5 linked regions of the Kluyveromyces lactis genome follow. The protein of the gene in region 4 interacts with the protein of the main gene of each other region in a pairwise test. Links are inferred from orthologs where the notes say so. Each region holds a gene or a part of one and is shown on either strand. Other genes may lie near its edges. The genes, in order: PEA2, GIP4, BNR1, FUS1 and CUP2.

Region 1 (4,473 bases), on a different chromosome or scaffold from region 4:
TGAAACCTAAGATTGTGTTACTAATTTTCGTTTCCGGCAAGATTGTCTTAACTGGTGCCAAACAAAGAGAAGAAATCTATCAAGCGTTTGAAGCTATCTACCCTGTGTTGAGTGAATTCAGGAAGCTATGATGTTTTATTGGATGGTACTATAAAAATTCATTTTTTTATTTTATTAAACAATGCACTAATTCGATTCTCGGAGGTTTTGTCTCGTCTTCTGCAAGAAAACCCTTTGTTCCTTCTATCTTTCCTTCCTTATTGTCTTTTCATATCCATTCTGCTATAATAGAAGTCTTTATTATTGGCACCTTACTCTATGTATCATATAGTTCATACACAAATTTAACGACTAATAGCCATCGGTAAATGGTTTCCAGCTTGAGTTTGAAATGGATGAGGAATTCTGTCTTAGATAATGTTACAAAGTTAATTACATTTCAACAATATATTGAAGTTTAATGCTAGTATTTTTGGATCGTTAAGGGCAACATAAAACGATTAGCGGTATCCTTTATTTTCCAACTTGTTCTCCAACTGTTGTCTCAACAGGCGTTCTTGTTCTAGTTCTTTTTCGTATCTTAACTGAGTATCAGCTAAGATTCGTTTAAATTCTTGCTTCATCATTGAGAAAGATTGATGGTTAGAAGCAGATGTTGAGGATTTGATGTCACTGGATTCGGAAATTGCTTGTGAGAAGGATCTATCGATATCCATTGGAATTGATTGCATCTGTGAAGTGACTTTCGATTTCTCCTCGCGCTCCTTCAACTTACTATGATAGTGTAAGAGCTCTTCAGAAAGCTCTTTGTTAGTCTTGTTCAGAGTTTCTATAGTCGCCTGGTATTCATCTCTATCATTTTCATATTTCGATTTCAAGAACTTGTATGCAAGTTGTAAATCCGTGATAGCCGTTTGTAGGTCCTGTTGTTTTGAGATATCGTTAAGTTCCAATTCTGAGGTAGAAAGGGGCGCGTGTTGCAAAGAACTGCTTGAATTCTGTGGGTATGCATCCAACAGGATGTCGATGTTTTTCTTACAAAATGAGATTGGATCATGTACACCCTCCTCGTTGGAAGAATTGTCTATTGATGCCAAATTGATACCTTTAGAAATGGAGCTAGAGATCAGGTAGGAGGTGATCTGTTCCACTTTCCCCTCATCCTCATCAGTGCTTTTATTGGCTAAAGATTTATCATTCTCTAGTACCAATTGGACTAATTCTTTCAACGTGTCAACGTCTACCGAGCCAAGCTTTTGTAAGAAAGTAGTTCCCTTAGTACTTAGAGAACCGTTAGCAGATTCATTAATCAAGTACAATGCAAATTCCAATTTCAATTGGGAATCCAAATCCATTGGAAGCTCATCCCACTCCGAATTTTGTCTATTGGATATCAGGGAATTCGTACTCGTAGTTTGCAAATATTCATTCAACTGTTCATTGGGGTACTTCCCATGCAATTTCTCTACAAAAGAGGTATTGTACTCGTACCATTGGTCCAGGTTATTACGAAGCATTCTATCAAGGGGCTAGCTGCGATCAGTATCTAGCTTGGTTTGGTAGCAACTTACATTTTAACATTCCGTTCATCTATCCAGACGCGTTGATTCCGATCAATGCCTTTCTCAATTACCACGCACGGGACATACATGCAGTTTCCGGGTAATACAAGCACATTATCAACCACGTGATATTTGACATCACCACGCACGAATACCGCCATTCCGATGTCTGGGTGTCATCTTCCGAAGGCTTACATAAGCACACCTCATTACCCGCATGTCACGTTAAATTATCGTTTTTGTGGCCGAAACACAAAAAAGGAAGCAAACTGATAAAAAGAAACGTGAAAAAAGAGTACAGGCAAAAAAAAAGAAACAATGGAAGGAGAAGAAGAAGAAGAAGCAAGATTCTGAACAATTCCCATATACAACACAGGCAAGCATTCCACACTACGCTATATACTGTAGACATACCGGAAAGCGCAGACCGACAAGTTGACTTTTCAGGCTAACCGAAAAATGTAATTGTTGTTACCTCTTTTGATACTTGATACTTTTATTTCTCTTGATACTTGCATTTTGTCTATCTCATCGAATTTTGGAAAATAAGAAAGTAAAGAAGCTTTTAAGCCTATATTGTTAATGATGACTATTCAGTTTACCTTTGTTAGATTAGTTTAAGGTAGGTTTTTGTTGGATTTGATCCAAACTCATCACTATAGAATAATATCGTCAGTTCTTGAACAGGGAATCACTTTTTTTTATCTTTTATACTTCCAGTTGGTTTTAACTTTAACGTCGTCTGAGCATCTGTCAATGATGAAACTCGATGAGATTATAGAGACTCTAAGGCAGGGGAAACATGTTGACGAGGATTCGATATACTCGCTGTGTGTCATGGCTCAAGAACTTCTTATGAATGAGTCTAACGTGACACATGTGGATACGCCAGTCACAATTTGTGGAGATATTCATGGCCAATTGCATGATTTGTTGACTCTCTTTGCTAAGAGTGGAGGCATTGAAAAGAATAGATACATCTTTTTGGGAGATTTCGTGGATAGAGGGTTCTATTCGTTAGAGAGTTTCCTTCTTTTGGTATGTTATAAATTAAGGTATCCAGATAGAATTGTGTTGATACGAGGAAATCATGAAACAAGACAGATTACGAAGGTTTATGGGTTTTACGACGAAGTGGTAAGGAAATATGGTAACAGTAACGTATGGAGATACTGTTGCGAAGTATTCGACTATTTGCCCTTGGGTGCCATTGTAAACAACAAGGTTTTCTGTGTTCATGGTGGATTATCGCCGGACGTTTTATCAATCAACGAAATACGAACCATCGATAGGAAAAAGGAGGTACCGCATGAAGGTGCTATGTGTGATTTATTGTGGTCGGATCCAGAGGATGTGGATACTTGGTCTCTTTCCCCGCGTGGTGCAGGTTTCCTATTTGGCCAAAACGAAGTAGATAAATTTTTACACACAAATAGTGTCGAATTAATCGCTAGAGCTCATCAATTGGTCATGGAAGGTTATAAAGAGATGTTCGATGGGGGATTAGTCACGGTATGGTCAGCACCAAACTACTGTTATCGTTGTGGGAATGTGGCTGCTGTGCTGCGCATCGATGACGATATGACGAAGGATTACACCATTTTTGAAGCTGTTCAGGCGAGGGATAGTGGAGGTAATGTCATTCTCCCTACGAAAAAACCTCAAATGGACTACTTCTTGTAACTTATTACCATTATTATTTGCATTTTTCTCTCTCTCTTCTCGATTTGCTGACCGATTCCCGTGTTATTGGTTCAGTCTTCTTTTCTTTCAGCATTATTTAACAGCATGGTATATCACCCTGATCCTCATTATCAACCGACCATCCTCCCAGCATAGCTCAACCTACAGTTGTTGCTTTGTATTAATATTACCTCTCTTCTTAATCTCATTCAACACAGTGATATACCACATTTCAATAAAAGTATCCCAATAGGTATGTAACAGTAAACTATTTCAATAATTGTACGATTGAATTATATGATTCATTTGATAGCATACATATTATACTGTAATATGGAATTTCTGGTTGTATTCCATTCGAGCAGAACATTTATGACGATACTTTTACCTTCCCTTCAATTTTGGATTTAACGGTAATATTTTGATATTTGATCTTCAATTAAGTATCTCAACCTTAAACGGAGTCTTACAAAAAGTCAAATAGACGTTTAGATGCAAGGGAACAGCTGACCGGGCAATATTCATACACCATGTGGAGATATAATCTAGCACTTACCAGACGAATTTTCAGTTCGCAGCCTGCTGCTCTAGTACGTCAGTATTCTGCTTTCAGAAGGCTTCCTAGAGTGGCAACTCCGGTAAAGGATGTTTCTCGTTTGGGCTTCAATGGCGTGCCAAATATGAACAATGTGACCATCCAGCAGTATGATCCCATTGCAACTACCATTTTAAATGAACCTACCATCATTATTGAGAGACAAATCGAAATGATGAACGTTGTGCTTGGTTTTGAACAGGCTAATAAGTATGCCATCATGGATGTCATGGGGAACAGAATTGGGTACATGCAAGAAAGAGATTTCGGATTCTTTAAAGCTATAACAAGACAAATATACAGACTACATCGTCCGTTCACCGTTGATGTCTTTGACAATTACGGCAACGTTTTAATGACTATTGAAAGACCCTTTTCCTTTATCAATTCACATATTAAGGCTATATTACCCGATGAAAACAGAACCCTTGTTGGTGAATCAGTGCAAAATTGGCATCTGTGGCGTCGTAGATATGAATTGTTTCAAAGAGAATGCGAAAACCCTTCTGAGTTTACTCAGTTTGGTAATATCGATGCACCATTTCTAAGTTTCGAATTCCCAGTTATGGACGAGAACAACAAGATTATTGCTGGTTGTGATAGAAATTGGGTGGGGATAGGAAGAGAACTATT
Region 2 (4,699 bases), on a different chromosome or scaffold from region 4:
TATATTGGATATATGGCTGTCTTTCCGTGTTGCAGTTCACTTGTGGCCCTTTGATTTCTATTTGCAATGTACGTTCGCTAATTTCTATATATTGACAAAATTGTGCAAACACTTTCATTGCACACAAGTATCTGTTGAAACAAAAAAGTTCAGCATAGATCTAAGAATACCGCTTGAAAACTGAGGTTCAACTGGGAGCTTTAGCATAGAATATCAAGCTGACATAACTATCTCTTATGTATTTCCGTTTTGGAAAAGGGCTTCAAATCCAACTTCGACACTCTTCTAAAGCCGTCCGATCACAACTTCGATGGAACTCGACGACAAAACTCATCAAACCAATCGCTTCAACACAGCATCCTTTCTTGGTGAAACCTGTGACGCCTCATGAATCTTACGTATCATGTACCATTTTCAACGAGAAAGGTGACGTGACTGCTGTATCTCATAAATTCCCGAAATGGGAGTTCTTACAGAAATATGGGTTATATCCAAGAGATTTGAGGAAGATTGACTCGAGTACAATAGATGTAATACCTTCGTTTGTCATCAAACCTAAGTGCATTTTGGTGAATGTGTTACATATAAAAGCAATGATACAGAAAGATAAAGTTTTCGTGTTTGATACTACAAATCCTGACGCCGCCATAAAACTTGGTGTGTTAATGTATGACTTGGAATCAAAACTATCTCAAAGGAATATCAATTACCAAGGGAAATCTGTCTCATACCAGGAAAATTATGAACATAGAGCCCTCGAATCAATACTCATAAACGTGATGACCTGTTTGGAAACGGAATACAAGTATCATCATTCTGTTTGTGGGATGATATTGAACGATTTGGAGAATCAGATTGACCGAGACAAGCTTAGAGATCTTTTGATCAAATCCAAAACTTTGACTGCTTTTGCCCAGAAGAGTGTCTTACTACGTGACCTTTTAGACGAACTTCTAGAGTCAGATGAGGATTTGGCCGGAATGTACCTCAGCGAGAAGAAGCATCCAGATGCTGACGACCATTCGGACCTTGAAATGCTCTTAGAGACATATTACAAACAGTGTGACGAATATGTGCAACAATCCGAATCTCTCATTCAAGATATCAAATCTACCGAGGAAATTGTCAATATTATTCTAGATGCCAACCGGAACTCATTGTTGCTATTCGAATTGAAAGTTACTGTTTATACGTTAGGTTTTACGGTGGCCACACTTGTTCCGGCATTTTATGGGATGAATTTGAAAAACTTCATCGAAGATTCAAACTGGGGATTTGCCAGTGTAGTTGGACTGTCAGTAGCAGCTGCAGCAGTTGTAACTATCACAAATATGAGAGCTCTAAGGTCAGTCACAAAATTGACACTATTGAATAATCATACCGGTGCTAACAATAAAAAGCATTTGGCAAATGCTAAGTTAGCTCTAGACAAAGAAATACCTACATTCTGGGATAGGTGGTTAACGAGTGCAAGGGTGTTATGGTCTGGACGTGAAGTATTGTACAAAGATGGATCAAAGAGAGACATGATCTGGAAATGGTTAGTAGATGACGACAAGAAGTGAAAAATCCGTATAGCCACATCCTGTAAATAGATAATTTCCTGATCGCAAGCAAGTTATCTCTATTTTTTAAACATTTTTATAGATTAAAGCAATAACTTTACTTGTGATACAAATATCATGAGTTTTATGATTACCTATTTGCGAATTCTTGATACATCTCTGTCCATCTGGTTGGTATCTTCTGCAACGTCAAAAAAAAAAATAAAAAGGTTTCTTAAAATTCGCCCAACTGAAAAGAGACATCGTACTCGGCAAGACTTGGCTGCAATTGAAGCAAATATACACCATTCGCTGACTTATCAGAAGGTATATCTACTTTGGGACCATCGAGAACTGCAATAATTACGTTTTTTTCCAATTATGCTGGCGAAGGCGGCAGCTAGTGCTTCCTCATCTATGGAAAAGGGTAGTGTGTATTTGGATTTTACAGATATAAAATGCATACAATATACATCATCGATACGGAAACTCGAGCAACTGGTTCACGTCTGTAAAGTGTTGCTTAGGAATTTGTCAATGAAGAGTAATGAGAATCTTATCCCCTTGTCAAACATCGTGATAGCTCTTGGTTCAGGGTTTCAATTTAATGTATCTGCGGCCATAGAAAAAAGGATCGAACTACTCTCACAATTTAGATCATGTAAAGCCAATGCTACAAATCTGCCATTGAGCACCACTTCTCTCAAACTAGAGGTTGACCTTGTACCGGTGGAAGAAGACTCTGTCTTGTTCGTCAGTAAATTCTACAACAAAGAATTACAATCGCAATTACTTACCACGTTACAACGAGTAGCAGAAGATTCACTTCAGATATACCAAGCAAGAATTAGGCAACTGACCATGGAAAGGAACTCAAACAGACCTACAGACCTATCTGGAAGGACAACTATCTTCAACGAAGATGCGCTAAACGATCTTCTTTCACCAAACGAGTTAGCATTCGGACTTGACTTACTTGTTAATATTAGGAATAGATCAACCGATACAAGCAGCTCTGCCTTCTTTGCTTTGGCTTTACCAATCTTAGAGAAATTCAGGTCTAACCTCAATGATAAGTGCATACCCCCTATACGATCATATTACACTAGTATAATGAAATTCAGCCGAACAAAGGGCGTTTTCTCGAATAATGTTCTCATCCAATTGCCATACTGGCAGTTTACTTTGCATAGGATGTATGCTGCATCTCTTAGAGCAAAATGTCTCATCGATGTGATACGGGCTGTATTGAGACAAATTTACATTCCAAATAAACATCACTTCCATGATAACACTACCAAATTGCATTCAAAGAATCTACACGAATATTCTGAGCTATTGGAAGAGTTAGAAACGTTTTGCTTCACACAGGAACTTGAAAAAGATCTTATAGAGGCCTTTAAGTCATATGGAAACCAGAATACTGTTTATCAAGTTCAGTTTAACAACATCTCATCAGCATATCAAAGATTGTTGTTAAAATCTACGCAGATGTTACGGAAAGCTGCTAAACTCGTTGATTCGTTTAGCACCCAATGGAAAAGTATATCAGATAACATGAAAGCCAGCAAATATGACGATATGAACATCGATGAGATGGCAAAGATGGCGGAGGAAAAGTTAGCTGTAGATGAACTAGCATACAACGAAAAAATAAAGGAACAAGAAAGACAAAGGGAGGAAAAAAAGAATTCCAGTCTTTCACAAAAAAACACATCATCTTCATCTTCCATAACTTCAAATTCTTCCTCATTAAACGTTTCTCCAAATATTTTATCGCCTTTAAGACTGAGCCGGACATCTTCAGTTTCGCGGTCAGAAGAATCAAGGTCCCCATCATCACCAATACCTTTCACTGATGCGAAGTCTAATATATCGGCTAAAAAGACCAGATCAGTCAGAACAAGAAACAGATCGTCATCATTGCAATCAGTATCAAGTCTTGAAGATACTTCCACTGCTCGGAATGGTATGAGATCCAATTCTCTTCAATCAGGTTCTCTGAATACACAAAGAATTGTACAGAATGCATATTCAAAAGCATTACTCTCGTTAAATGAGAAAAGAGGCCCAAGACTAACACCAACAAAGCTGAATAATTCTATAAGATCAAAATCACCTTCTCCAACTGTGTCACGGCAGAATTCCGTAAAACAGAGGAACAAAGTGAACATATTGAAGCTAAATGAAGTAGACGAAGATGACATCAATGAGAAATTCCACGATCTGAAGCTGGACGATGATACTCTAATCGTCTCTCAGGAAGTGTTATCTCCAGAAGGTAGTGAAACTCCTAAGATCATAGTTTCTGTTGCCGATGACAATCAGTCGTCTTCAAACAACGACAGCGAAGTTGAAGGTATTGTGAAAAAGGTGAGATTTATAGGGGTTCCGCCTATGTCACAAGATGAAAACCCTGAGCCTAAAAGACGCGGATGGTACAAGAAGCCTGCCGTGTTGCATTATCCACCTCCACCTGCACAGCACTCACTTCAAAAATTCAGAACAACTCAAGAGGGTCTTGCATTTCGCACAAGTTTGATCTCCAGAGACCAAGGTTCTGATAAAAAGTTCGGTTTTGACAGCATGTACTCATCAGGTCAAGGGGCGGATACTAAAATAGTGGGTAAAATCAAGGATAAACTGTTTAAATAGAAAGAATCTTTTAATTTCTATTTGCAGTGAACTTATTTCCATTATAATATCAACTTTTAACAATGTATTTGAAATTTAGAGAAAATATTTAACTATTGAACATTCCCATAATTTATAAAGTAAAGTAGGTAAGGCTTGAAACATAGGAACAAACCTGTTATAACACCACTAGAACGGTCTGACATGTCATTCAGGACACTCAGCTCATTGCTACCGAGTCCGCAAAACTCAGAAGTCTCCGAGTCTTCAGCATTTTCTAGACAATCTAAGGAAAACATAAAGGATACAATAATATTAGACAAGCTACGACCGGAGAATCTACCAGTGGCCTCAATATCTGACTTTGTACCTCTTAGACAACGTGATATATCACTAGAGGCACCGTTCCCATCGACATCACAGATTAATCAAACATATGTAAAGACTAAGGCGTTTCTAGACTCGCTGCTAACGAAAAAGAGCTCTCTACAATTATCGTCTATTGCGAACAAGGACATCGT
Region 3 (7,186 bases), on a different chromosome or scaffold from region 4:
AAACGTTGAGAAAACGGAAATATAGAAGCCGATCAGAACATGCAGATCTTGCTATTAGCCGGTGGACATAGAGATAGGTAAGACCTGAGAACTGAGATGGGATGGTTTACAAGGAGTGTGTAGCGTTAAGTAAGGATACAGTACAAATATCTTGCGTTACCCTGTTATATTAGGATTACATCTTTTCTCGGCTTGTGGCTTGGCGATATAGTTGCGGCAGGATTGTTATTTTTGTGGGTTTAGGTATCAAATGCTGATGTAATATATCTAGGTTTTTAGATCTAGGTTTTTAGATCTAGACTGTGTATGGTTACGAAGAGAGAAGCAGAGACCGGTTTGTAGATGAGATTTGCATGAATATCGGAGTACTGTCAGTTTGGCTATGCTGAAAGGTTGGACAATTCACGAAATTTTGGGCTTCCGACGTTAAAGGGCTTTATTTTTCCGTTTCGTGGGGAAAAGTTATGTGAAACTTTTCGAGTAATATTGTTCCGGCGTTGGTCTATATATATATATATATATATATACGTTTAAACTGTTCATATGTATTGTACTTGGGTTTCCTGGATCGGGAAAAGTTTGTATGTGACTGAGGGCTAGAGGAGAGAGGTTGTTCACAGGTTTTGAATGCCGCTCTTAAGTGTCATGGCTCGTGATAATAGATTTTGATCTCTGTTGGTTCTTGGCGTAGAACGTTTTTCTGGATGAGATGATGTTCCGGGAACGGATGAACCAGGGATTGTCTGTTGAGGGTCAACGCTACGCAGTTTTTTGATCAGTATATCTATCGTATCTGCAGCTTCGTCATCGGCAGATTTTTCAACTTGGGTTTCTGTCGAAGCCTTCTGTAATAACTGTTGTCTTTGTTCATGTACGCGATTCATTGCTTCTCGTTCCTTGTTCTCTTGTGATATTTTATTGAAAAGCGTTAGGAATTCAGAGAAGTTTCTGAAGAACGTGTTTTTGGCTTCGGAATTTGTTGGATCCTCACCGCAGTACTTCATAGTGCTGTTGAAATCATTCATAGTCAGTTTACATTGATTATGTAACAGTTCTGCTTTTCTGACGGCACTGGGAAGCTTGGCGCTGATTTTCTTTCTAAATTTGTCATCTGGATGGTGTTTCTCAGTATGCGAGAGTTTTCCACGTTCGAATGACTCCTTCATTCTCATTATTTTTTCGTAATATTCGTGTATCTCACTTTCTATCGATTCAATGTTAATCTTCCCCAGGTCAGATAACCTATTCAAATCTCTTGTAAAATCGTATATGTCGGGATATTTTTCTCTGATGATTCTTTCTATCACATGCAAAAAGGATAAATTCTTATCACTGTTTGTCTTTACCATGGAGAGTTTGTTCAATGAGGAAAGTTTGATACCCTGCGTTTTCTTGTTGTTCATAAAGTTTCCGATCTCTACGACAATGTAGAAAAATTGTTTGAGTCTATTCGAGTTTTTGATCATTGAGGTCCCATCATCGATCTTCTGTAATTGGTACAAGATGTCATAATAGTCCTTTTCATATGTCAGAGCGATCAAGAGAGAGGAGCTTCTGATTTTCCAGTAATATCTCATGTTGTAAAACATTTCGAGGTATATTCTATCAGCTCTTTCCAATTTACTGACGTCTTCCTTCGGAGCCTTACCGGTTTTCCAATCTGACGCATAGGGTTCGAAAGATCTAATTATACTTTGGGGGATAGTTTCGAAGTCATCCTTGTTAAAGAACTCAAGAACGCTATGATTCTTGATTATATCATCGTCACACCTTAGTACTTTTATCAAAAGGTCTTCAACAGAATATGAAGAAAACATATGTAGGTTGATTCCAAATTGTTGAGCCAGATCCCTTGACAAAAGAGAAACTTTTTCGTTCTTCTTACTAGCTGTAACGTTGGATTTCTTCTTCATTCGAACTGCCTTCTGTTCAAACAAGTTCACAATCTCATTAAAGACACCCTTTTCATTTAAGTCCTCCTTTAAGTCACTCCTAGTTGTTGGTTCATTCCAAAGTGTGTCACTAATATCCTCTATCTTGTCCCAATGAATCTGCTTCAACGGTTTTACCTCTGGTTTAGGCTTAGACACGAATGTCACATTGTTAGCTAGAGGTAATGGTGGAGGAGGAGGAGGAGGCGGTGGAGGAGGAGGAATGCCGTCTGTTGGTTTTCCTGGGAGGGTTTCGTTTGGGAATGCAACTGATAAAGATGTATCTTCTACTGTGGATTCCTTGTTCAGGGATGACAGAGTTGATGGTAATGGTGGAGGCGGAGGTGGAGGCGGAGGTGGAGGCGCGACATTTGACGAAGCACAGGAAGCAGAACTAGTTACTAGGGCCGGTCCATTGGTCATTGGTGAGGTGAAGGCTTCTATACTTTTCAGTTGAGGCGGTAAAGGTGGTGGTGGAGGCGGCGGAGCCGCTGGTGCTGCAATAGAAGCAGGAATCACAAATGCTGTTTGGGCTGATGGAACTTCTGTGGTCGTTGCTGATACTACATCATTACTGGAAGATAGTTTTGGGAGTGCTGATACCTGATGGAATATGTCGTTCTTGCGTGGATATATCGGAGTCACTGGAAGGTCATCGTCAGAATTGTTATTCAAGATGTTATAAGGGGTAGAGTGCGGATATTTTGACTGAGGTTTTTCATTTGCAACAGTGGATAGCGATGCTATACGTTTACTTTTTGATAAGGAAGTTGATCGTTGAGTACCAATAAGCGGTTTATGTTCTTTTAAAGTCTCAAACAGTGACACAGAACGTTTTGGTGTATATTCTGCTACATCTCTATGGGCGATAGTGAGATCCAACTGTTTCTTTTCTTTCTTTAGCTGATTTTCTACAACTTCCAATCTGTCTTGCAATTCTTCTATTCTTATTTCCCTTGATTTCAAAAGTTCTTCTTTATTTTCTAATTTCTGCAGTAGATCCCCTTTGGAAACCTGTTTGTCTTGTAGCAATGTATCCAATTGAAGTTGTATTCCATCAAATTCTTTCTTCTTTTCATCCAGTTCCATCATTGCTCTTTTGGCAATTTGATGGGATTGTAAGTTATCCATTATATGATCTAGTGAGGTCATGAAAACTTGTTCCGTGTTGGTTTCATCAAAGCTACCATCCAAGGTATGTTCGCATAGATAGGTTAGAATAGAATTGAAAACATAGAACAGTTTTATTGAACCTTCCGTTGTTCTTTCATTTACTAGCTCCAAGATCGTTTCTATAATATTGCAAATAGGCGTTTCTAACGGCGTATCTTTAGTATATTCGATTAAACTCTTGATTTGAGGACCATAAGATATTTCACTCAGAAACTCATTTTTGAACTGTTTGTCTTGCACCTTCAATTCAAGTTCGATATACAGGTCTATGTCCTGATTCAAAGCTGATGAGTCTAAATCCTTCATTAGCCGGAAAACCCGGTGTATTCCAGCTCTCTTCCATCTTTTGAAACACGCCAGTTTTAGATCATTGGAAGGCAGAAGTTGTTGAATGGATTGAACCAGTAACAATGTAGATATAGAGTAATCTACGAGCAATTCTTTTGGTTTTGGAAGAATTAAAGAGTTGTTAAACGCATAATCCTCCGGGTTTCGAAGAGTCATTTCTACTGCCTGGATCCAACTTTCGTAGCACAAATCTAACGATTCCAACAAAGAATCTGACCATTCAGTGGAATATGTCAGAAGGATCACAATTTGGGTAGATAAAAGACGAACTCTAAGGTCAGTTGTGAGCGTTCCTAAAAGGCAGAAGACGTAAGTTATCCAATCATTATTCTGGAATATCACAGATCTTGCTGAAGTATCGTTAAGCAATGCTTTATAACAGCATAAGTACACGTACTGGGATTTTTTATCCAATAAATCAATGAACCCATTCAAAATCGAAACTCCGTTTGCATTCACAAACAGCGAAATAAAATCAGCATGTCGAAGTAAACGTTCCAATTGATAAAGTGTTTGAGTAACCGAGAATCTCTTATTCAAATTGCTCAAAATCATATGTAAAGTATTCAATTTTGAATCGTCTTGCATCGTTATATCACCATGTAGTTTCTTTTCCTTCTGAATCAATTCCCATTTACGGGTATACGACAAGCTTTTCAAATTTTGCTTAGCAGTACCTAGAAACGCATGTCCATTCAATAACTCTTCAAACTTGGCATCAATTTCTTGTTCTGACGGTAGCTGAGTGTCTGCTAAACACATTTTATCCGTTTTAGAAACATGTCGCGTAGAATCAACGTTCGGAGTTGAAAAGTTGTGTGATTTCATGTATCGCAGGGTCTGGGAGCGAGGTTTGAGCCCTGTTCCTACTAGATTCAGCCCTTGTATTACCAGATCATCGTTGGAATCATTGCTAGAAAACCTGGTCTTGGCATTTGCAGTCGGAGCATTAATGGATCCAGATCGAAGCGGAAACAAAATACTAATGGATTTTTCATTCTTATCAACAGTCATTGGTCGGTCAAAGTTTGTTGATTTTCAGTTGCAGAATTATAGCCAGAAAAGTGATTTGATACTCATCAATACAAGGAAAACGCGATCATTCAATAATGATCTGGGAGATAGCGAAATAATTTCACTAGATAAACGCTTGTACAAAAAACAATTTGTCAAAGAAAACGATTAATTCTAATGATTAGCAAAGCTGATTGTAGAACAGTTTTAGACTCTCTTCAAGTGTACGTATTTATGGATTTCCTTTGTGTTACAAAACATGTGTACTAAATTTCATACGCTTTTAGTGCTTCATTTTGTTACGTTCCTTAATAGATGGATCAAAAATTAAAAAACGTAAACAAAAACAGGATCAAAAGCTCAGAAACGCACTTTGGAAAGGAAGAAGAGACCAGAAGGAAACAGTACGCGACACGTGAAACAATCTATAGATACTAGTCACGTGAGTTGGATCTTCTTTGCTACCCGGGGTAAGTTTTTTCAACTTGGGGGTTACCCCGCATGCGACGTTGGTCTTTCATTTTTAGGGTATTTCATAACGAAAACCGGAATTAGTGTGACAATGCCGATCTCCAATTCTACGACATAGCCTTGAGCAAAGGCAAATTTGAGACTGTAGTTAGATTAAGTCAGGATCATTGTTAATGACATCGTGGAGCTCCGTAAAGTTTCTGCTTTTCAGTGTTGATGATTAACTGCGAGCTTAATGGCCGTGAAGAAGGGATGTATGCGATCATTAAATCCTCTTTAACATACTCCAAAACGACGGCTGGTTGGTTCTGCTCATTGTTCGTTATTCCCCATATTTATTTTAGCGAGTGATCCCTTTGACAAATAATTTTTTGTATAAATTACGTACATAAATGTGTCATGCTGACATTATTCCTTTATCACTGACTTTTATCAGATGAATTGATTGACAAGTGAACATCATAGGGCAAGATATAAGTATACTACAGGCGAGTACAGTCAATCAGAAATATAATATGGCTAGCAGACTTCAACAATTAGAGAAACATTTGACAGGACGCAGTTCTGAAAAGGATATAAAGAGTAAGAATCCGGACGATGTGGTTGTTGTAGCTGCGTATCGTTCAGCTATTGGTAAAGGGTTCAAAGGAGGATTCAAAGATGTTAACACGGATTATTTACTTACACAGTTTCTGAAGGAATTTTTTGAGAAAGTTGACATTGATAAGAGTGTCATTGAAGAAATTGCGTGTGGTAATGTGTTGAATCCCGGTGCAGGTGCGACAGAACATAGAGCTGCGATGTTAGCTGCTGGTTTGCCATATCAAACTCCGTTAGTGGCTATTAACAGACAGTGTTCCTCAGGGTTAACTGCCGTTAACGACGTTGCAAATAAGATCATTTCTGGGCAGATCAATGTAGGGTTGGCTATCGGGGTGGAATCTATGTCTAAGAACTATGGTCCGAAGGCTCTTGGGTCTATATCAAATGAGTTGAAATCGAACACGGCTGCTGCTAAGTGTATGATACCAATGGGATTTACTAATGAAAACGTTGCTAAGAAGTTCCAAATTTCAAGAGAAGACCAGGACAAATTTGCCCTGGAGTCATTCTATAAAGCGGAAAGGGCTGTCTCACAGGGATTGTTTAAAGATGAAATCATCCCTATTGAACTACCAGACGGATCTATAATTGCGCAGGACGAAGGTCCTAGAAAGGGCGTCACTTTCGAATCGTTACAAAAGATTAAACCTGCATTTGTGAAGGAAACAGGTGTGACAACTGCCGGTAACGCTTCTCAGATATCAGATGGTGTTGCTGGTGTGTTGCTAATGAGAAGATCCATGGCCATGAAATTGGGTTTGGAAATCGTTGGTAAGTACGTTGCGTTCCAGGCAGTAGGTGTTCCACCTGAGATCATGGGTGTTGGCCCAGCATATGCGATTCCAAGAGTCCTCAAAGACTGTGGTTTAAATGTCAACGATGTTGATGTTTACGAGATTAATGAGGCCTTTGCAGGGCAGGCCATTTTCTGTGTCAACCATCTAAAAATCGACAAGAAGAAATTGAACCCAAGGGGAGGCGCGATTGCCTTAGGTCATCCTTTGGGCTGCACTGGTGCCAGACAAGTCGCTACCATATTAAGGGAATTAGACGCTGGTCAAATTGGTGTTGTTAGCATGTGTATCGGTACTGGTATGGGAGCTGCTGCAGTCTTCGTCAAGGAGTGAGTGAATATTAACGTGTGTATAATGTAGTTTCCCTCTTCTGTAATGACCATTTCGATGAATATGATGAGTAACTCATATTATTCGCTACTGTGTTTTTTTTTCAATCAGAGAGTTTTGACATCAGATTCTTCTGTACCGTGTCCCTATTTATATACTCCGGAGACTGCAAAGAATTCCAGTTGGTAACCAAATAGTTTAATTGTATAACTAGCGGCTGTTTATCTTTGAGTAAAGCTTTTGATTTATAATTGAAATTGTTTACAATTCGTGATAACGGGTCATCTGAAGAACAGTCTTTCGGTTTACTTAGCTTTATGGCGGATTGAGGATAATCGACCGGAATGTTGAAAACACATTTCACTTTCTTTTGATTCTGATCTTGATCAGTGGTAATAAACGTTAGCGAGTAGGTCGTGACATATTGTCCTTTCCTTAACATTACAATATCTGACCCAGCCAAATGGCACAATTGGTCAATTTCGGCTTTTCTTTGCAACTTCAAGGCATTTCTCAATTTGA
Region 4 (6,234 bases):
CCGGTAAGGTTCATCAAGCTGGATCCAGAGCCCAAATTCCTCTATTGAGCGGGCCCATTGCTCAGGCAATTGAAAAGTATAACTTTCACCTAATGTCAACGCAGAAACACCAGTATTCAGTAACAACGAAGGATTATTCAACCAATCTTGAACTAATTTCCATTTGTCAGCAACCGTTACATTTGGAAACCGTTTAGAGTAGGATTCTAAGTACGAAAAGTACCATATAGGCAAGAAACATTGAATTGGTTCGTTTGTTTTGCCTATTAATACGTTCAACCACTCTATAACGTGAGGTGATGATTTGGCATCTTCAGGAAACGGCAGAATGGCTTGAAGATCTTGCAGTAGCTCGACCATTCTAGAGAGGAGTTGAAGGTTGCAAACACGACGTATGCACGTTCACTAGATAGTTCGAGATACAGGAGACATCTAGTTAGACCCTTTTCTACCATTGAATCATTGATGATACTAGGAGTCATTTTAGGTAAAATAGAAGAAACAATAATCTGATCATGTGACCCATTGATTGGCTTTGTCTTTGTTTCCACCCTCCATCTTGTTATGACATCCGGATGATGATAAGCACCGGTTCGATACACAAAAAGATTTCCTTACACTGTTAGAAAGGCTTCATCTATACCTGAATAATTTATTACTCATATTTGAATCTCGCTATTTACGTAAGTAGATACGATTAATAAAGTTGACATTTCTCTTTCTGGTTCAAGCTTCCTTGAAACTTCTCGGTATTAATTTAATAATGTAAGCGTTTCTGTTAATTTCACCACTTTTCTTCACTTTAGTAAGCGCTATTGTCAGTTTTTACTAAGATGAATAATGCCTAAAAAAAAAAAAATCAAAAAAAAAAAAACCGCTCGAAACGACAGACAACACGAACACTGTGTCTTAATGTTTCTGAGGAAAGTCAGGTCGGTGGTTAGAAGTACCCCAAGGTGCAAGACAATCTGGGATTACGGGGTTGGATAAGCCATTGTAATAGACTGATCTATAGTTACTCCTAGTGTAAATAATTGATGTGACACTGACATATATATATGAGGATGGAAACAATTATCAAGTCTGTCTTGTTTCACGCTAACTTTATTCAAGTGTAGTGTATGGTCTTTTAATATATTGATTCTACGGAGGTCAATCCAATCAACCTAAAACTGTATCTAATGTCTGCTGCTGCCACTAAACAATTCTTGAAAGCTATTGCTGCTCGTCGTACTATCTATGCGTTGAAGCCTGAATTGCCATCTGGTGTATCTATCAATGATGTTCAGGAAGTGGTCCAGGCCATTGTCAAGGACACCCCAACTTCTTTCAACTGCCAAGGTAACAGAGCAATTATTCTGACTGGTGAAACCCACAAGAGTGTATGGGATTCTGTTGTGAATGCCATTGAAGGTGATAACGGTAAGAAAAGACCTGCTTCTGCCAGAGATGAAGCCTTCGGTTCTATTATCTTTTTGACCGATGACAAGACTACTGAAAAGTTGCAAGCTGACTTCCCAGCATGGTCTGCTATCTTCCCATCTTTCGCCGAACATTCCAGTGGTGCTGCTCAAATCTCCACATGGACTGCCATCGAATTGTTGGGTCTGGGTGGTCACTTGCAACATTACAACGGTTACGTTAAGGCTGCTTTGCCAGAAGGTGCTATTCCACAAGAATGGACTGTTCAAGCTCAATTGGTCTTTGGACTACCAGCTGCTGAAGCCGGTGAAAAGACGTACATCGATAACCCTGTCAAAATCTTGAACTAGGTATCTGGCATGTCAATCTCTAACGAATAAGCTGATATAAATTAAAGGAAAAACGTCATATGTGTAGACACATACTATATAATGAAGGAAAATTAAAGATTAACTACAAGTTATTTGAAACTGCCGGAAAATTAGACCTAGAGATTGTTCCGCCAAGAGCCAATCAAACAAATACTATCGTTTACTATTACTTGTGATAGCGATACATTTACATACTCTCTTGAAGACATAACCCGGGCACAATACCACGGTTTTCATTCAAATAAGTGGGTCCATCTAGTGAACTATGGTTTTGGATATTACTTCTTTCCACTAAACACCATCCGTCTGTGTGTCTTGCAAGTACTCGTACAAGTTCACCTCCTCGTATATCTATTTCATCCATCAACACAGCCTGATAGTCCTTGACAACACGGTATAATTTTGCCTGCTCTTGAGCAGTTGATTTTCTCGCAGATCGTAAGTCATGATGGTCACTTCTTGCACTGACATTATCCGAAACATGTTGATCATCGTTGGCCGACGTGAAGTGGGGATTAGGCGGCTTGGGTAGTGGTTTTGTTTTCGATAGTTTATCCAATTTGAGCAGCGTTGGATATGTTGGTTTTAAGTTGGTATCTATTATTTGCGGTTTGATTACGCCTTGTTCCGTTCGTATCTTAGATTCATTGATTGGTATTTCACTTTCCTCTTTAAGTTCTAATGACGGCAGTGATTCAATAGCTTCATATGGAGATCGAGGAACACTAGGAAGCATCGGTGACATTTCAGTGTACGGCTCCTCCCCATTTATAGTGATCTTACTCTTATTTGCTCTTGCAAGTATATTAAGTTGTTTCAAATGAATAGTAGGGGTCTTTGCTGTTTGAATTTTGTCTTGGATTAGAGTAGATTTGGTTAAAAACCATCTTGAAAGTGGCGATTCATAGTTCCATTTCTTGAAGGGTGATGCTAATGGTCTGGGAAACTGTCCTAAATCCATTGTCGAATTTGAGTACGCATTCGTGTCGCTTTTTTGGTTAACATTTTTTCTGTATGGATTGTCCGTAAATGCCAATTTTTCCGGTGTTTGAATGAGTTCAGGATGAGAAATATAAGGTTTGCTAACTTTGTATGTGATCTTAGAGCTTACGCCGCTATCATACTTTTCATCCTGTTTCTTTTCGTTGAAAAGTTCTGCTTTTTTTAAATCATTAAGTTCTTGCATCCCATATAGCTTCCCTAACACCGAATCTGGCTCATGCTGTTGCATATTTTCATTATCAGGATCAACTTTTGAGTGGAATCTTCGATAGTACAAGAACCCGAACACAATTCCCAATCCAACGACAAACAAGGCAATTGGTAATCCTATGGCAAGACCTAAAATGGTACCACTAGTATTTTTTCCATCCGATGTACTGGCTAGACTGTTCAAGGAGATTCCTGATGTCATTCTCGCTGATTGACTACTCTGAACTCCCAATGAGCTACTGCTATGGGATGTAGAACTAGTAGAGGTGGATTCTTGAGAAGTTTCAATCGTAGTGGTGACTTGATTTGTAATAGTTGCAGTTTTAACATTTTTGTTCAGTTGAGTTGCAAACGCTGTCGAGACGGTAGTTAATGCATATGGTAAAGTATTTGATGCTCGATAGTATTGATCAACATAAATTGTATTAATGACAGTAGCTTCATTATGTAGAATAAGTTCGTTCATTTGCGTCTGGATCACCGTTCGTGTTTCTGTTTCTATTTCCATCTTAGTTATTCTTCTATTTTTTCCTCTGGTTTCATGGACGCCGAAAAGTTACGCGTCTGCAATGGTGCTTAAGCACCAAATCCAAGCGTGTAAAGTCAACCAACGAAGAGTCAGAAAATAGCAGAAAAAAAGTGGCTATTACATTCAGTATTTATGTCACTGAATTATCAAAGTTAATTCAATACGTTCATGTTTCATAATCCCAAGGGAGCCGGAACGTTAAAAGTGTATCAATTACCTGCGTTAAAACATACTGTAACCCTTGTTTATGATACCCAATACCTCAATATCGCAAGCAGCTGTGGTTTCATGTGCCCTTGGATTCTATTTTTTCTTTTTCAAGTGTTTCAGAGTACTAACTATTTGGTCCCTGAAATTGTCTTATATCTGAATCTGCAGGTTGTTGACTTTCTGTACTTTTGACGTGAGGCTGATCCAATACAAATCTGAAACACGTCTAACAAACATCGCCTTTCTGGGGGAAGTATGTGATATCCGGGTAACATCTTATATTTGTTCTGGCATGCACTCAGGATTAATTTTCACGTGCTCATTGCATAATAGTAGCAGAAGAAGCAGCTGGCTTCGAACAAAGTTTTATTCATCGAGTACATTTACGAAGGGAAGTGTTAGTGCAAGATATCCATTTCTTTGACATGTGTTTCTAGAAAAGAGTTTTTCGCTTAAAATAGGTTTTTGAATGTCAAACGTGTGATTATTTGTATTTGGCAAACATGATCTGCAGTTTGGCATAGGCTATGAAGGAACAGCAAGGCTGAGAAAGTTACTTTCGCATCTCATTGCTTTTCTTAAAATTCTTCGCGGATTTTGACAGCTTTAAAGATTTCATCGTTTGATCTATCGAACATTTCATGACATGACAGGAAAATGGTCGCTGAGGTAAATTCAACAACTGACCACTAGCTATATTTTCTCAATATTTGTAGTTCCTGCAGTTAAGTTCGATCGAAGTTGATACTAGTGACACTTCTTTCTTCAAAAAGGCTGAAATGTTTATAGTGCCAATTCAACTGAGGTAGATACTAGGTGAAATAGACATTCCTGTGCCAAGCCACAACATCTTCTATGCTGATCAACGACTCATATTTCAAAGTAGTAGATCGCTGATTTATCCGTATTCGTCACCGTAAAAGCGTGATAAACATTTTTCCGGCCAGACAAAAACTGCCTCTTAGTCTTAGCGCTAAAAAAAAAGCTGCTTTCTTAACACCCTTAACATGACCGCCTGACATAGAATTACCAACATTCCGTTGTCGCGTATAGGAAGCATATGCCGAAGCTTCTAAAACCACTCATTAGAAACGAAATATGAGAACACTCCGAGTATACGGGAAAACCAACAATGCATCAGCTGTTTTTTGACCCATTCGTAACCATTTTTGTTTCTCTAATTGCTTTCAATACAACCATTGATATGCCAAGAAGCCCTCAAAACTTAGATATTCTCTTATTCCCGACCGAATTGTTATTTTGAGACTACATGAATGAGGCTAATATCTTATGCTCATAGTAAACTTAACCAACTACCCTTAAGTTGGCCTTACCTTGTAGTTGAGAAGGAGCATCTGGAGAAATAACATGAAAAAAAAACCCTTCTTAACGGGAAAATCTGGTTGGAATCATGAGATCTATGTAGTATAGAATCAGCTGTTTTCGCCAGTCCCTGCCTAGCCCATGAGATATCGTAAGAAATTGATGCGTACCAAGATGGTAACGGGTCCGCACTGGAAAAGTCTCAGTGGAGTTAAAGCTGCTGAGTGATAACAGCACAACGCTCCCGGATCTAACCTGTAAATTCTATATCATGCCAAAGTTTTTTCGAAAAGATTGGGTGTACGGATTATCAGTTAAAGGGAAACGCACAAAATTATTTTCACGTTTTGAGGTACAATCTGAAAAGACCGTTATGCATGTCAGGGGTAAATTCAACGTACGGGAAATATGCAGTAAAGAAAAAGGCACCAGATGCACGAAGGTACCATTTTGCTTCGTGAAATAACGCAAACAGTCGTACGCTTCTGCAGAACTGTTCGTAAGGTATTTTGAGGCATATGGCTTGGGTTGATAACAGATATTGAATAATCGAATAGAAGCAGCTAAAGCTGACCAGTTCTCAGAAGGTTCAAAGTGGGAAGGGAGAAAATGAGAAACAAATGTACTAACGAATTCTCTTCGAACACATAAGATGTCGTAGGAGTATCCTAATATGGGAATTAGTCTGGGAGCAAAACAAAGGCTGGTCATACCTCTGCTATCAGCAATACTATTACAGCGTAAACGTTAGTGACTAAAATCACAGACTGGCTTAACTGCTAATGTCTGCTTCGTAACCTTATACTTTGTTTAGTTTTTTGCAACTCATCTCTATAACAGGTGCCTATGCTATATGCATGTAGTACCTTTCTTGATGAAGAAGCTGTGCGATATTAGATTTCCTTTTTTGCATTCATGCTGAAAATTACTAGCTAGGTACTTTACTTAGCCTCAGCATTGTCAAACTGTGAGAGCAATGCGGCAATTTACGTGCCTTTCTTGGAAACCAGTTATGATCGCCATAAACCCTCGGTCTATTCCCGTTTTACTTGCTTATTTGCCTGTGCCACCAAATCGTTTAACATAAAAGACCAAAACGGACTCTCTCCAAAGAAATCCACAAATCAAAATATTTTCGTTTCCCTTTCCAGGCACGACATACCTGTG
Region 5 (6,378 bases), on a different chromosome or scaffold from region 4:
ATGCGATGTGGAAGGTTATGTTATGAACATATTTTTGATGCTTTTTGATATGTGTTGTAATTTGATTTTATCAGAATACAACTATAACATCCGTAAATTCTGAACAAACTACAACCAATCAGTCATGGCTGCTAACAAGGTTTTCAACGTTGCTGTGTTCTTCGTTGTGTTCAGAGAATGTTTAGAAGCAGCGGTGATTGTTTCCGTGTTGCTTTCTTTCTTGAAACAATCCATCGGTTCTAATGATATGGCCACTTATAAAAGGTTGAGAATGCATGTCTGGATCGGTGTTGTTGCTGGTTTCATCATTTGTATGGCCATTGGTGGTGGTTTCATTGGTGCTTACTACCGTTACGAAAATGATATTTTCGGTTCTGCTGAAGATTTATGGGAAGGTGTCTTCTGTATCATCGCTACCTTAATGATTTCTGTCATGGGTATTGCTATGTTAAGAGTCAACAAGATGCAAGCCAAATGGAGAGTTAAGATTGCCAAGGCCATGCTTGAAGTTCCAAAGGACAGACGTAAGAAATGGAGTCTTAAATACTGGGCTACCAGATATTCTATGTTTTTGTTGCCATTTATCACTGTTTTGAGAGAAGGTTTGGAAGCCGTCGTGTTCGTTGCTGGTGCCGGTATTACCACCAAGGATTCCAAGGCCACTGCGTACCCATTGCCTGTCGTCATTGGGTTAATTGCTGGTATCATCGTAGGTACTTTGTTGTACTACGGTACTTCTAAGTCATCTCTACAAATCTTCTTGGTCATTTCTACTTGTGTTCTTTACTTGATTGCTTCCGGGTTGTTCTCCAGAGGTGTGTGGTACTTCGATAACTATTACTTCAACAAGAAGACCGGTGGTGACGCATCCGAATCCGGTGATGGTAACGGGTCCTATAACATCTTAAGAACCGTGTACCACGTTAACTGTTGTAACCCGGAATTGGACAACGGTTGGGATATCTTCAACTCGTTGTTGGGCTGGCAAAACACTGGTTATTTGTCATCCATCCTTGCTTACAACTTGTACTGGTTGGTCTTAATGATTGTTATCGGACTAATGATGTACGAAGAAAGAAATGGCCATTTACCATTCTGTAAGAATCTAAAACTGAGACAATTGAAGCCAAGCTACTATTTAAAACGTAAGCAGAACGAAGAGTTGACCGCTGCTGAACAAGAGGAATTGTTCAAACAAGTCAACAATTTGGGCGTCGACGAAGAAGGTAACGTCGTCGTTAACAAAGGTGACACTACCAAAGTCAACGTCGAACTCGTGAAATAAGTGGGTCACTACTAATTTTCACTAGTTCTTTTATCAGAAGTATGTACACCTGTAAACAATCAAATATAATGTAAAGTATCTTTTGGTTTATCGATTAGCAAGTTAACTGCATAGTTGCCAGTTGGGTAAAACTCTATATTCATCTGGGAAATGGAAGCAACAAATATTTATCAGTTGGGAACCCTGATGACTACTGAACGAAAACCGGCTTAGACCACCTCCCCTCTCTCCTGAATCGTGTAACAATTCCTCTTACAATGGCGTGTGTACGTCTCCGCACCTTGCCCAACGCTGTTAGTACAGAGTATAATGATGTATGTGTCGTCCTACCCTTACCATCCGAATAAGACAGAAGAACGCAGCTTGACGAGGTGCCTCTCGAAGCATGTCGAAATGAAATTTCTTTTTCTAATTTCCGGTGCACATTGGCGGAGAAGACACTGCACAACACTTGAAATTCCTGTACGAATGGAAGAGTCTTGAAGGCTTTAAAATCATTACCCGCAAACAGCTGTTCACATACATATACGGACATATCAAACATTCTTATCAAACAGAATACATATATATATATATATATATATATATATATATAGATCTGCAATAATCGGAGCTGAAAGACTTATTTCCTACCCTGATTGAGCTCTACATCCCGCTATACCATTAAACATAGATAGCTTTCAGCGTTTCAAAACTGCTTTTTTCCACTTTCCTAATTAGACCTAAGATAATCAAGCTACTACATACCGAACTTCTTCTTTGTTGTCTTAATACCTTTTTTTCTTTTGGAAAAAATTATAGGAAAAAAAAAATTGAAAAGAGAAGTACTGTAAGTATTCCTCAATTGCCTTCGTTACTCATAAGGTTTAAGAATTAACGGCTGGTATACAGGAATAACTCGGTATCCATATTACTTGTGTTGTACCATTTGACGCTATTTTCTGAAAGAATCTGCTACGAATACTTCTCCTTCCCAACTTTACTCACTGTACTTGTATTTGATTTGATGTGTACTGAAATTTTACAGAGACATTACTTACTAGGTTTAAAAATTTCAACAGAACTTTTAAAGGTCAAATTTTGAGAGATAAAAAAAAGATACTATATATCAGTGTTTTTGACTAGTATTTGAGGAGATTGATAGAGAAACTGCTGTCTCTGGCTTATTCTGTTCACGTTCTCAGTATCCAACCCCCAATTATAAGGCTGAATATCTTCCTTTTTTTCTTTCTCTTCTCTTTCTGGTAGGATTTTTAGTCAGACAACGGCTTAATCAACTTTAAGGAAAGAAAAAGAAAACACACATATTGGAGTGACCTAATCTAATTCATTTGTCTTAATATTCACACTCCCTAATTGTCATTTTCATTGTCCCTTTGCTGGCTTCTTACTGCTGACTTTTGAAGCTTTTTTTGTGGTTATTATTCACTGAAGACAGCACAGACACATTCTGTATCGCATTCAAATAGCACACAATGGTTCTTATCAACGGTGTGAAATATGCCTGTGAAAGGTGTATTAGAGGACACAGAGTGACTACATGTAACCATACAGATCAGCCGTTGACTATGATTAAACCGAAAGGTAGGCCGTCAACGACTTGTGCTCATTGTAAAGAACTACGGAAGAACAGGAATGCGAATCCATCGGGCCAATGCACTTGTGGGCGACAAGAGAAGAAACGGATCGCACAGAAGGCAAGAGAAGAATCGGGATGTGTTTGTAAGAATGATCCGGATCACTGCCCGTGTCATAAGAAGCGTGCGCCAAGAAGGAAAAAACAATCACATCAAGGCAATTCCGCTGTAGGACTGGATATCAATGGTAAAATATCAAAACATACTAATAGCGGATATTCACACCAATCTCTACATTCTCTGGATTCGTCACATTCTGTCGATCAGGATTTATCGAACTTCCTGGCGTCTCCGATCTCTATGAATACAAGCTTTTCCACTGGCTGGGATAATGCGTCGCTGTCAAGTTCTAATCGGTCTCCACCTGGTAACGGACCGGATAGTAAAAATACAATCGGATTAGAACCTCTAAGTACCATGAAACCTATCACACCCAAGACGAGGACTAAAGTCGGTGAAGTTTTCATTCCGCTTACGGAATACGTCCCAACGAATATTGCTTCTTCAGAGGACCAAGCCGATCACATCAATCCACTTCTCATGGGAGAGCACGTATCTATCTACAATGACGTCTCTGCAGATGCCCCAAATGTGACGTATTTCGCGGATACTTCGAAATCTTTGAGTTATAATCAGTTGAAAGAGCAACGGAAGGCTCTTAGCGAACAACATTTGCGTAACAATGTAGATAACATTTCAAAGAGTGGATCAACCCAACGCGTTCCACTCTCAGTCGCTGGCCGTTCATCTTCTTTTGTGTCAAATATATCTTCTCATGACTCCGTGGCATCATCAAACAATGATTTCATTAGTTCATTAAACAGTTCGGATTCTCTGTCTTCTATGCTTCATAGTGGTAACGCTCATCACTACCAGGATATGCTTCATCATTCTAATAATGGACGCGGATATCTTAACCCTGTTCAAGTGGACCAATCTCAAAATGTATATGGCTTTGATACGGACAGCGTACGAAGCGTCGAAGTTCTATCTATAACTCCTAGCTTTATGGATATTCCGGAATCAAAGCCACCGAGTATCGGTTCAAACTCATCTACAAATCCATTTATAAGTTGGAAGAGCGTCAATTCTAGAAGGGAACGTTCCGTTAGTATACACAAAAATCATCGTTATGACAATGAGAATAAAAGGAAGAGACATCCGAAAAATGTACCCAACACTTCTACGCCACAAATCAAGTCTATGGTTTCACCAGCAGAAACTAACAGCACAGCACTTCCGGCATCTGGTAATCATTTCAACTCACCAGCGGATTCCACCAATACAGTTCTAAGTGCTAATACACAGTACGGAGATCCATCCGTATTCAGCATCGAGAAGGTCGGAGTAGCGCCATCCTTTGTAGAACCGTCATTCACCACTGACTTCAACCAGGCACTGAAACAATCAAATATGGTGAACCAAAACATCATCGATAACAACTCTCTGTTCAGTGGCACTAGTGAAGGTAATAACCCCTCTCCTAACGACCTGTTCCCCGTTGAATTCGCAGACATTGATGATTTGATGACACACTTATAATTCTTAAACTACCTTATTCTAGGGTAAGTACATATGTTCATGTAACTCTATTCAAACATACTCGTAATAAAATTAGCTTTAATATGGAAATCCATATTCAAACTGTATTTATATAAATTAGGATCGGCTCAAAGATCTCGAAAACTTGAGTTGCCTCTTCATATTAACCGAGTTATCTGTTCCGAACCGCCCAGAAACCGAATTTATTAATGCGTCTATATAGTAGTGAAATTAAAATGTACTTTAAAAAAATGAAAGATCAATGCGATATATATTGAAATGCAAAACTGATGTCTTTGTGATTGAATTCATTTTTCAAGAGATGGTCGTTTGTTTTTGCTAATGCATCGTGATTCAAATGATTCCACGAAGTCGCGTCACCGTATAGCATTACCGGAGCTTTCAAAATTTGCTTTCCATTCTTACAGCGTTTACAATTATATGTCTCATGGGTATCACATATGGTTTTTGTATCAAGTTTGAACAATTGCTTCAAATTATCCGAACTGAACAATCGTTCAACATCCTCCTTTTCATCCACAACACATGAACTCAAACTCATCTTCATCGATTGTCTTTGGAAAATCTTCTCTTCAATGGTACCAGTACTAATGAATCTGTAGATAAAACAATCTTTCTTTTGCCCATCTCTCCAAACTCTAGCCAAAGCTTGTTGATCTGCAGCCGGGTTCCAATCTGGATCTAATAAAATCAATCTGTTGGCACCAATCAAGTTTATACCGCAACCACCGGCCTTGGAACTTAACAAAAATATAAACTCTTGTCCCTCCGGATCATTGAACCGGTCCACTAACTTTTGTCTTTTATTGATGTTCATGGTACCATCCAATCTCAATACGCCATAGTGGTTACTAAAACACATTTTTTCAATCAAGTCTAGCGTCTGGGTATAGTTTGAAATCAACACAATCTTGTCGTTAGACTCCGTTTTAATTTTGTACAAAAATCTTGCCAAGACCGAAAACTTACTGGAAAAAGCTGTCTGAATAACGCTTCTATTTCTTGAAGTGCGGGAGTCAACAGAAGATTGATAATCGTCGGGTATTAACTCTTCTGAACCCGGAATGTCTTCAGATAGCTCTAATAAGTCTGGATGGTTACATAATTTTTTTAACAAACCGATTGCCTTCAACGGTTGGTTACTATCCCCTTTAACGATCTTCTTAACAGCTCTTGATTCAATGAAATGCTGATATAGAGATTGCTGAAATGGTGTTAAATTTATGAATATAACATGCTCGTATTTGCAAGGTAGATATTTTGCCAAAATATTGTTGGTACGCCTGATAATGAACTTCGAGACAATGTTTGAAAGTTGTCTCAACCTATCCTTACCCAAAGTGACCTCTTCATCTGTAGCCAATGAATCTCTACTCTGTAAAATCGGTAATTCGAAGTTTTTCCTAAAGTCATTTCTGGAACCCAACAATCCGGGATTTGAGAAATTTAATAATGCAAAATACTCCGATAAATCATTTTGAATCGGAGTTCCCGATAGAATAACTCTTCTCGGACACCTAATGGAATCCAATGCCGTGAATGTTAAGGAATCTGCATTCTTCAAACGATGCCCCTCATCTGCTAACATTAGTCCAACCTCACAGTTCTTTAACTGTTCGACATTACGCCTTAAAGTGTCATAAGAAATGATGAGGACAGGTTTGACGATATTTCTACCTTGAGCTGAAGCCCAATGACTCACTGAATCCGCCACATTTCCATTATTTAGACTGGACTTTTTACCGTCAATAGCCAATGAAGAAAGAGAACCTGGTCCCAACCATTTGTCAATTTCATTTGCCCAATTGTTGACTAAAGATGATGGACACACAATAATACATTTATCAATTGATCTCCTACCTTGCGGACCTTGTTTCAACATGGTCCACATTA

What was found.
Region 1: the proteins of FUS1 (region 4) and PEA2 interact in binary tests that used the Saccharomyces cerevisiae proteins (3 or more experiments, as listed by UniProt). The link is inferred for Kluyveromyces lactis from reciprocal best matches to the Saccharomyces cerevisiae genes FUS1 and PEA2.
Region 2: the proteins of FUS1 (region 4) and GIP4 interact in a two-hybrid assay, tested with the Saccharomyces cerevisiae proteins (2 studies listed by BioGRID). The link is inferred for Kluyveromyces lactis from reciprocal best matches to the Saccharomyces cerevisiae genes FUS1 and GIP4.
Region 3: the proteins of FUS1 (region 4) and BNR1 interact in binary tests that used the Saccharomyces cerevisiae proteins (3 or more experiments, as listed by UniProt). The link is inferred for Kluyveromyces lactis from reciprocal best matches to the Saccharomyces cerevisiae genes FUS1 and BNR1.
Region 5: the proteins of FUS1 (region 4) and CUP2 interact in binary tests that used the Saccharomyces cerevisiae proteins (3 or more experiments, as listed by UniProt). The link is inferred for Kluyveromyces lactis from reciprocal best matches to the Saccharomyces cerevisiae genes FUS1 and HAA1.

The regions. Positions count from the first base shown.
Region 1 is NC_006041.1:888,929-893,401, reverse strand, and holds PEA2 (Pea2p), read right to left. Parts: upstream 1,518-4,473; coding exon 501-1,517; downstream 1-500. Other genes in the region: SPT15 (TATA-binding protein), read left to right, coding at 1-131; phosphoprotein phosphatase PP4 catalytic subunit PPH3, read left to right, coding at 2,319-3,245; AIM25 (Aim25p), read left to right, coding at 3,776-4,473. UniProt on the Saccharomyces cerevisiae protein: Localized to sites of polarized growth and is required for efficient mating and bipolar budding.
Region 2 is NC_006042.1:225,725-230,423, reverse strand, and holds GIP4 (protein phosphatase regulator GIP4), read left to right. Parts: upstream 1-1,925; coding exon 1,926-4,199; downstream 4,200-4,699. Other genes in the region: MRS2 (Mrs2p), read left to right, coding at 237-1,565; mRNA splicing protein PRP45, read left to right, coding at 4,383-4,699. UniProt on the Saccharomyces cerevisiae protein: GLC7 phosphatase-regulatory protein involved in GLC7 subcellular redistribution and chromosome segregation.
Region 3 is NC_006042.1:1,001,107-1,008,292, reverse strand, and holds BNR1 (formin BNR1), read right to left. Parts: upstream 4,467-7,186; coding exon 615-4,466; downstream 1-614. Other genes in the region: POT1 (acetyl-CoA C-acyltransferase), read left to right, coding at 5,453-6,667; SMU2 (Smu2p), read right to left, coding at 6,768-7,186. UniProt on the Saccharomyces cerevisiae protein: May organize microtubules by mediating spindle positioning and movement in the budding process. Potential target of the RHO family members.
Region 4 is NC_006039.1:116,229-122,462, reverse strand, and holds FUS1 (Fus1p), read right to left. Parts: upstream 3,514-6,234; coding exon 1,981-3,513; downstream 1-1,980. Other genes in the region: KLLA0_C01584g (uncharacterized protein), read right to left, coding at 1-360; KLLA0_C01562g (nitroreductase family protein), read left to right, coding at 1,182-1,772; KLLA0_C01518g (uncharacterized protein), read right to left, coding at 5,332-5,778. UniProt on the Saccharomyces cerevisiae protein: Required for cell fusion. Negatively regulates Sho1p signaling to ensure efficient cell fusion. Interacts with SHO1.
Region 5 is NC_006037.1:266,793-273,170, forward strand, and holds CUP2 (Cup2p), read left to right. Parts: upstream 1-2,760; coding exon 2,761-4,464; downstream 4,465-6,378. Other genes in the region: high-affinity iron permease FTR1, read left to right, coding at 125-1,285; DNA-dependent ATPase RAD54, read right to left, coding at 4,724-6,378. UniProt on the Saccharomyces cerevisiae protein: Regulates the transcription of a set of genes, many of which encode membrane proteins. Among the genes regulated are YGR138C and YRO2. Does not seem to be dependent on copper.